Linked DNA regions of Oryctolagus cuniculus. The protein of the gene in region 1 interacts with the protein of each later gene in a pairwise test. Links are inferred from orthologs where the notes say so. Each region holds a gene or a part of one and is shown on either strand. Other genes may lie near its edges.

Region 1 (3,742 bases):
ACCAGCACTCAAAGCTGTATAAGCTCTGGAGGGGGGAGGGGAGGCAAGATAAAGGGCAGGCCAGTCAATAAATAGAAACTGTGATAGGTGCTGTGCAGGAAGGAATTCCTGGGAGCGGGAGGCGGCGCTGAACGAACTAGTTGCGAGTTGTAAGGTTATACATTTGTAGCAGTCAAGTTTAGACGCATAACTGGACCCATAAGACAAAAGGCTCCAGGCCCAGAAGAAATGGAAATTTTCTTCATAATGATGTTAGCATCCATGTTGTAAGCCTACAGCGGGCAGGAGGGTGTGAGGCGTGCCCCCCACACTCCGGGGTAACTGCACCCATTTCACGGACGAGAAAATAAAGTAGGCAGTCCCCCAGAGGCGCGGCGGGAACACTAGGCGGGCGCCTCGCTTTGCCCGAATGCCTTGACCCTCCAGGGCTGCCTGCCAAGACTCGTTTAGAAAAGTGCCCACTGTGTGCCGGGGGGCTCATTTAAACAGCCGCGGGATTAGCCGGATAAACAGGGCTCGGTCTCCTTTGCCAGGAAGGCGCTCCCCAAAGAGAGGCCAGGTGAACAATCAACTCCAGAGCGGGCCGGCGGGGGGCTCGCGGGGGGCTCACGGGGGCCCGGCTGTCCCCGGCGTTCCTCCGTCCCGGGCCTCCAAGCCCTCGCCCCGAGGGCGCGACCCGCGTCTCAGCCCCTACCGGCGAGGAGCCCGGGGGCGCGCAGCTCCCTCGTGGAAAGCAGGCAAACAAAAGTGGCACATCCCAGCCCCCGGTCCGCGCACGGCCAGGGCCCGGCTCCCCGAAGCCCCCTCTCCGAGCCGGGGCGCGGGGGACGCCGCGTGCGCCCGGGGACCCGGCTCTCCAGCCTCCCTTGCTCAGCCCGCCCGGCCCTCGCTCTGCCGTCGAGCCGGGGCCGGGGTCGGCCGCTTCCGCTCCGCGCCGCCGCCCCTCCCCGGCGCGCGCCATCCGGCCCGGGCCGCGCCGACTCCGCGGCCCCTCCTCCCGCCGGGGGGCTTCGGCGGCCCCCGTCCCGTCCCTGCGGGCTGACGGCGGCAGCCCACGTCCAGGGAGGGCGGAGGGAGGCGGAGAGGGAGGGGAGAGCGGAGAGGGGAGGGAGGGAGGCGAGAGAAAGGAGCTGCAGCGGACTCGGACTTCCCAAAGCCGGCCAGGAGCGCGCAGCCAGCGGCTCTCCGCGTCCCAGCGTCCCAGCCGCGGCCGGCGCCTCCTCCTCCTCCTCCTCCTCTCCGGCCGCCCCATCCCTTCCTTCCAGCCTCGCTCTGCTCCGGCAGCGGCAGCCCCCAGCCCCAGCTCTCCGCGCTCACTCCTGGGACGCGCGCCCTCGCCCCATCCTCTCTTCCTCCCTCCCTCCCTTCCTTCCTTCCCTCGCGCCCGCCCTCCCGCCCCAGGTCTCCCTCCCGGTCGCGATTGTCTCCGCGCCCCGCTCGGCCGGCCCGCGCCCGCGCCCTGCCCGCACTTCCTCCCCGAGTCGCCCGCCGCCGTCGTCTGCGCGCCGCGGGAGCCCAGCCCGAGCCTTCGCAGCCCCGCGGCGCCCGCCCGAGGCAGCCCCGGCGCCCCGGGGAAGGCAGAAGCGGGCGAGCGCGCCCTCGCCCAGCCCCGCGCCCCAGCCCTGCCCGGCGACGAAGGACCGGGAAGATGAACAACGGCGGCAAAGCCGAGAAGGAGAACACCCCGAGCGAGGCCAACCTCCAGGAGGAAGAGGTAGCGGTGGCCCGGGCGGGCGGCGGGGCGCGTCCGGGGGCCGGCGCGCCGTGGCCCCGGCTGGGTGCGTCTCCAGGGCGCGGGTTCTGGGGGTGTCCGCGCACCCTGCGCTGCGTGACTTGCAGAACTTTGCGGAGACACCCTCCAAGTAGAATGCTCGGCTTTGTGTGCCCGGGATTTTAAAAGCGGAATCGAGAGCTGACTCCTGGGTGACCTCAGGTTACTGGGACCCGAGGGTCAGGGCTTCTCTGAGCGCCAGGGGCTGGAAGCCGGCGGGAGGGAGTGCGTGTGTCTGTGTGCGTGCGTGCGGGCGGCTTTGGGAAGGAGTTGGGGAGAAGCTCTGTTAGGGGCTGGCGCTGGCGCCGGTGTGAAAAGTTCTTGGCCAAGTCTCTCCGGAGCCGGGGCGTGTGTGGATTCATCGATAACTCGCCGCCCGCGAGGCGGGAACCCCCGAACCCCGGGCTGTGGTAGACTTCGGGGGCGGGGTGTGGATGTGGGGAGCAGAATGAGAGGGGCCGAAAGCGTCGCTCCCGGAATGCTGGCCAGGACGCTGCGGTAGGACTTTGATTTGGGTTGTGCGTCCGGGATCCTGGAGGGGAGACAGCTTGCAGTTGGGGGGCACTTGCCTTTGGCAAACGCGAAGCCGAGGAAGTGTGGGGAAGGGGTGTGCGGGACGCACGTTCCAGAACTCCGTAGTTAGGGGATGATTGTGGGGTTTCTCAAATGACTGTTCCCGCAGCCCCAGAAACAGTGCCTCCGCTCACTTGCTGAGTTCCCTCGAAGTTGGGGCTCTCAGCCTTCCGCCAAGAGCTCGCGCGCGTGTGTGCGGGAGCCAGAGAGCGTGCGGTGCGCGCGGGCGGCGAGGCGGTGCCGCAGCGCCGGGCCCGAGAGTTGGAAGTGGACCTCGTGCAGGAATCCCTCAGCCCTTTTAAGTCGTCCACGTGTAAAATTGGAGCTATTTAATTAAATAGGAGAGACAGGCGAAGACCATGCAAAACAATGCAAAAGGTAGCGCCGTGGAGCAGCGTTGTCACCTGGGTGAGTTAGTAAGCTGAGAATTGGCTCCTGGAGGAAATCGCCTGTTTTATGACAAAGCTTTATTTTGAAAAGCTGTTTGCCCCTTCTTGTTTGGTGCCTGCAAATGTAGGACTACTCGTGACAGTGCTTTTAAAAAGACACCAAGGCTGGAATTCCAAATTCCACTTTCTGGCTTCTCTACTGTTTAGTTTATTTTCCCTGTCCTTTAAAAACTGAAAAATGATGGCAAATTTGCATTTTCAGGAATTGGCATGTGCAGCTAATTCACTTAACCCGTCAAGAGAATCATTGCTTCAGAAACCTTTCTGTTCCACTTAGAGTGGCAATCTGGCCGCTCCTAAGTGTGAGAGTGTATCTTGTGAAACAATCTTTCTCTGTTAACCAGTTGAGGAAACTTGTAGTTAAGAGAAAGTTCATCAGACTGCAGATTTTTTTCTTTTTCTTTTGGTAGTAGCAAAATGGGCTCAGGTGTCTCGAAAACCATATCCAATTAACTTAAAATCGAATGGACGACAGAAGTCAGATTTTTCTCTTGACCCATGCCAGGTGAACTGCCGCCAGGATTTGCCTGGATGGGCTCGGTTATCGCGAGGTTGTGGGTCCCTGTGATCAGAGGCCATCCAAGTCGCAGGCATTGCTTCTAGTTTCCCCAGCAGCGTTCCTTTCCGGGTGGGAAAGGCGTGGGCTCCTCCAGGTGTAGGTCTTTTTAGCAAAACGCTTGTTACTTAAAAAATAAGACAGGAGGTAGGAAGGTTTCAGAACCCAGGTTGTATAAGAAGCGAGAGTATACACTGCGGATACACCCTGACCAGAGAGGGTTTATGGTTGACATTCTGGTTTTGAAACACTAACCTCCTCTCTCTTTCTCCCCCTCCCCTTTTTTTTCCTAACCCTGAAAGCCACAAGTTAAATAAATATGGCATTTGGTGGGTGCCATTCAGTGAGCTTAGCATTGCACAAAATCCCACTGCACTGGCCGCTTTGCCTGCC
Region 2 (3,742 bases), on another chromosome or scaffold:
TGATTGCAGCTGGCTTTTCCCATTAGAGCAGGGACCATATCTGTTTTATTCCTCATTCAATCCTCAGTGTTAGCTAAGGCATAGAATATAGAAGGAGATTGAAGACTATGAGACGGGTGGATAGGAGGAAAGCAGGGAGGGAGGGGAGATGGAGAGAAAGAGGGGTGGGAGACAGGCAGTCCGTCCTCCCCCTGCATGGCACCAGCCCCCTCCCCAGCTCCCCTGTCGTGTGCAGGCCTGGGCCGTGTACCAGGGCAAGCACCTGGAGGGCCCTGACCAGCACCCTCCACGAGGCAGACTCGGCTCCTCGGTGCTCTCAAGAGTGCCGACTTCCGGAGGCGCCCGAGTGCAGCCAGTGGGCATCTCTGTCCCCACAAGGCCTCCCACATTGTGTGTGACGCTGCCCGTGGCCCAGGTCCCATCCCGCCCCTGTAGGCAGTAGCTGAGGGCGGCTCTCTGGGCAGTAAGGACCTCACTTTGTCTACTTACAACAGGAAATGGTGGACTCGTTGAGCTTAAATCCACGGGCTGATAAATTCAGGGCCCTTAGACCATTTGTAAAGCAGGAAGCTAAGGCTCACTGACCCGTGGCCTTTCCTGAGGTCACACAGGGAGCTGGGGCACTCCTACTGGGGGTCAGCAGTCCCCAGGGTCTGTGCTGCTCCTCACACAAAAGGCACTTCCCTGATCCAGCCAGCAGCCCCGGGGACGTGACTGAGCCCCACCTGCAGGACAGACCAGGTCGGAGTGTCCTTCCAGTCCTAAGACTTGCCAGCTGTCACCTCCCACGCAAGCCACTCCCTGGCCCTACCCCTCCACCACTGATCCCGCCCCCATCAGCTCCCCCCCCCCCGCCAACTCTGCTCCCCCCTCCCACCTCTGCCACTTCCCCCCTGTGCCCATCACCCCATCACACTCAGCTCCCAGATGGCCCATGGGTCCGTCACTGTGCCCCCTGCCCCTTGCTCACCCCTGGCTCCAGCAGGCACTGCTTCCCTTACCCCATAGGCTCTGCCTCCCCCCACCTCTCCTCTCATCTGAGGTTTGCGGCTCAGTCTGTGGACCCGGCCATCAGTTCTGGTCCCTCCCACTGTCCCTGGGGCCCCTCCCACAGCTTTGTCCCCATCTCCATCATCACTAGATCCTTCTCCACATTCACCCTGCACTGTGCTTCCCAGTACGGCGACCATCACCTCCAACACTTCCCCCCCAATTTCTTTCCCTCCCCACTGGGGACAGTGTTGAGACCTGAAACTTCCCCAGCTGCGCTTCAGTGCGCCCAGACCCCTCCCTGCCCTGGGCGAGGCAGGGCGGGCCGGCGGGGACAGTCTGGGAACTCCTGCGGCCCCCAGGTCTCCTCTCACAGTCAGGATCCTCTGTCCCAGTGCTCACAGAGGGTGACAACAAGCAGCAGCCCCTCAGGCTGGCCCCGCAGGGCCCCTCCTGCCAGGCCCCCTGGCTGACCCAGCAAGGACGGCCCCACCCACCTGCCTCCTCCCCATTCTCCTGGATGGAGGTGGGGAGGAGTCAGGGGGAGGGGCCCTAACCGCTCCCCTACTTCCTGGGGTACCAGGCATGGGCCACCAGACACCCCTGTGGCGACCCTGGTGAGGCATCTAATGGCCCACCCTCCCCTCTGACAGCGGCTGAACTGGGGAGGGCTCAGAGTGGGGCAGCCGGCCTCCGTCTCCCATCCACATGCAGACCCCCTGGAACAACCCCTTAACAGCTAACCTTGGCAGAGGGCTTCGTGTATGGGAGGCATCCTTGGGAGTGCTCTCCAGGGCCGGTGAGGCTGCTTGTGGTTACCGCGCTGGACCACGGGTGGTTTATGTTGGAAGCTGTTATGTAGTGCTGCTGCTGTTGCTACTACTACTATTGCTACTACAAGAGTCACTGCCATCACTGATGGGGAGGGCGAGGAGGACCTGTGGGTCGCCTGACCCGTGGTGGAGGGGGTGAGGAAGGGAAACCTCGCCAAGGTGGCCGCCCTCCTTCCTCGCCCCGCAGATGGCTGGCTGCCCTTGCGGCTCCGCCGAGCGCTGCCTTCTGAGTCCGCTGGGGCCGCCACCACGCGCTGCGTAGGTCCGCTTTGGCAGCCGCTGTTCCGTGCGCACCTGCCACGGCACCTGTGGCCGCACCTGAAGTGCGGGGTGCTGCCGTGGGTGGCGCCCGAGGGTCCGTTCGCCACGCGCCTGTGCCAAGGCAGCGTGTACTGGCGCGGCCCGCTTGTCCTGCACGGAGCGCAGCGCAACGAGCTGGAGCGCGCGTGCGGCCCGCCAACTGCCCGGCCCGCGCTGCTGTCCCAGCGGGGAGGGCGCGGCCGTGCGGTGGCGGGCGCCGCGGGCGCAGGGGAATGAGCTCGAAGGTGCTGGGTATGGGGTGGGCATCGAAACAAAGGACATGGCCCGGAAGCACGGGGAGTGGGAAACAATGTGGGCCCCCAGAGGTCGGGCACAGCTCCGGAGGTCGGCAGGCGGGGGTGGGCACAGAAAGGCGGGGCAGAAGCCCGGGACCTGGGTACCCGTGTGGGCGCAGGGGCGCCCTGCAGGGTGCTGGGCACGAGATCAGCACAAGGCAATGGGAGTGGGCATAGGGGACATGCGCTCGGATCGATCAGCACAGACGTGGGACACCAGCCAGACGTGGAGACAGGGAACTGGGCCTGGCGCAGGAAGGGGCGTGAGCACGGGCCGGGCTCCAGGCGTGTGGGGGTGACCGGTAGTTGACCCAGCCCGCACGCGTCACTGCCCGCAGAACTGCGAGCCCACCTGCAGGATGGCCACCCAGGGCCCGAGGCCAGACGGCGGCCCGCTGAGCGCAGCCCTCCGCCCAAGCCGGGAGCCACGCCCCCGTCCTCGCTCCTCGGCCCCGGGCGCCGCCCCTGGGCAACCTTTGGTTTCTGCGGGCCTGCCTGGACAATGGGCCGTGGCTAAGGCTAGAACTGCCGCGGCCCTCCCTGCTCCTGGCAGGCCGAGCCGGGGCCCCACCCCAGCACCCCACCTCCCGGCGCGGCTGTCAGCGGCGCCCCGGCCGCTGCAGCCTCTCCTACCTGCGCCCGGGGCTCGGGGCTCCCCGTACTGGTGGCTAGGGCCGCCGGGGGAGGAGGCCAGCGGAAGTGGACGGTGGCCCTCGGCCTCCCGGGCGGGCGCAGGGACGGAGCTGCCCGTGAGGCCCCAGATGCGCGGCAAGTGGGAAACAAGACTTGGGCTCTCGCTCAGGCCCAGCGTGCCACCGGCGCCTCACTTCCTGCCGGCCTCAACCAGCCACGGAGTTCGTCAGGGCATTGCTTACAGCTGGGCTGGATCCCAGGACTGGATCCACAGGGTTCACAGCGCGGCCCGTCGGTGACAAAATTCCCAGGCCGCAGACAGGCTCGGCGTTTGCAGACCCTTAAATAGAGAACTCAGCCCGAACCCCGGGCACAGGACGCTGGCCAGGGAGCCAGCAGCGGCTGCAGGCGCTGTCTTTGTTAGAGCCGAGGCCGGCTCCAGCGCAGGGGCCACGGAGGGAGGGCAGCCCGTGCCGCCCGGCTGTGAGCGTCAGGGATCCCGCGGTAAGCAGGAGAGGGCACCTACACCGCCCCCTGCCGGCCAGTAGAGAAACTGCGCTCCACCGCGGGTCAGAGCTTTTCCGCTTCTGATTTCTGACCTTTTTGTAGGAATCTTTTTTTTTTTTTAATTTTTTGACAGGCAGAGTGGACAGTGAGAGAGAGAGACAGAGAGAAAGGTCTTCCTTTTCC

Evidence for each region. The genes of interacting proteins can lie anywhere in the genome.
Region 2: the proteins of RBPMS (region 1) and FOXS1 interact in a two-hybrid assay, tested with the Homo sapiens proteins (2 studies listed by BioGRID and IntAct). The link is inferred for Oryctolagus cuniculus from reciprocal best matches to the Homo sapiens genes RBPMS and FOXS1.

What each region holds. Positions count from the first base shown.
Region 1 is NC_091433.1:80,425,808-80,429,549, forward strand, and holds the start of RBPMS (RNA-binding protein with multiple splicing), read left to right. Parts: upstream 1-1,366; 5' UTR 1,367-1,648; coding exon 1,649-1,714; intron 1,715-3,742. Other genes in the region: collagen alpha-2(I) chain-like, read right to left, coding at 482-1,252.
Region 2 is NC_091442.1:25,886,335-25,890,076, forward strand, and holds the start of FOXS1 (forkhead box protein S1), read left to right. Parts: upstream 1-1,114; 5' UTR 1,115-3,742. UniProt on the Homo sapiens protein: Transcriptional repressor that suppresses transcription from the FASLG, FOXO3 and FOXO4 promoters. May have a role in the organization of the testicular vasculature.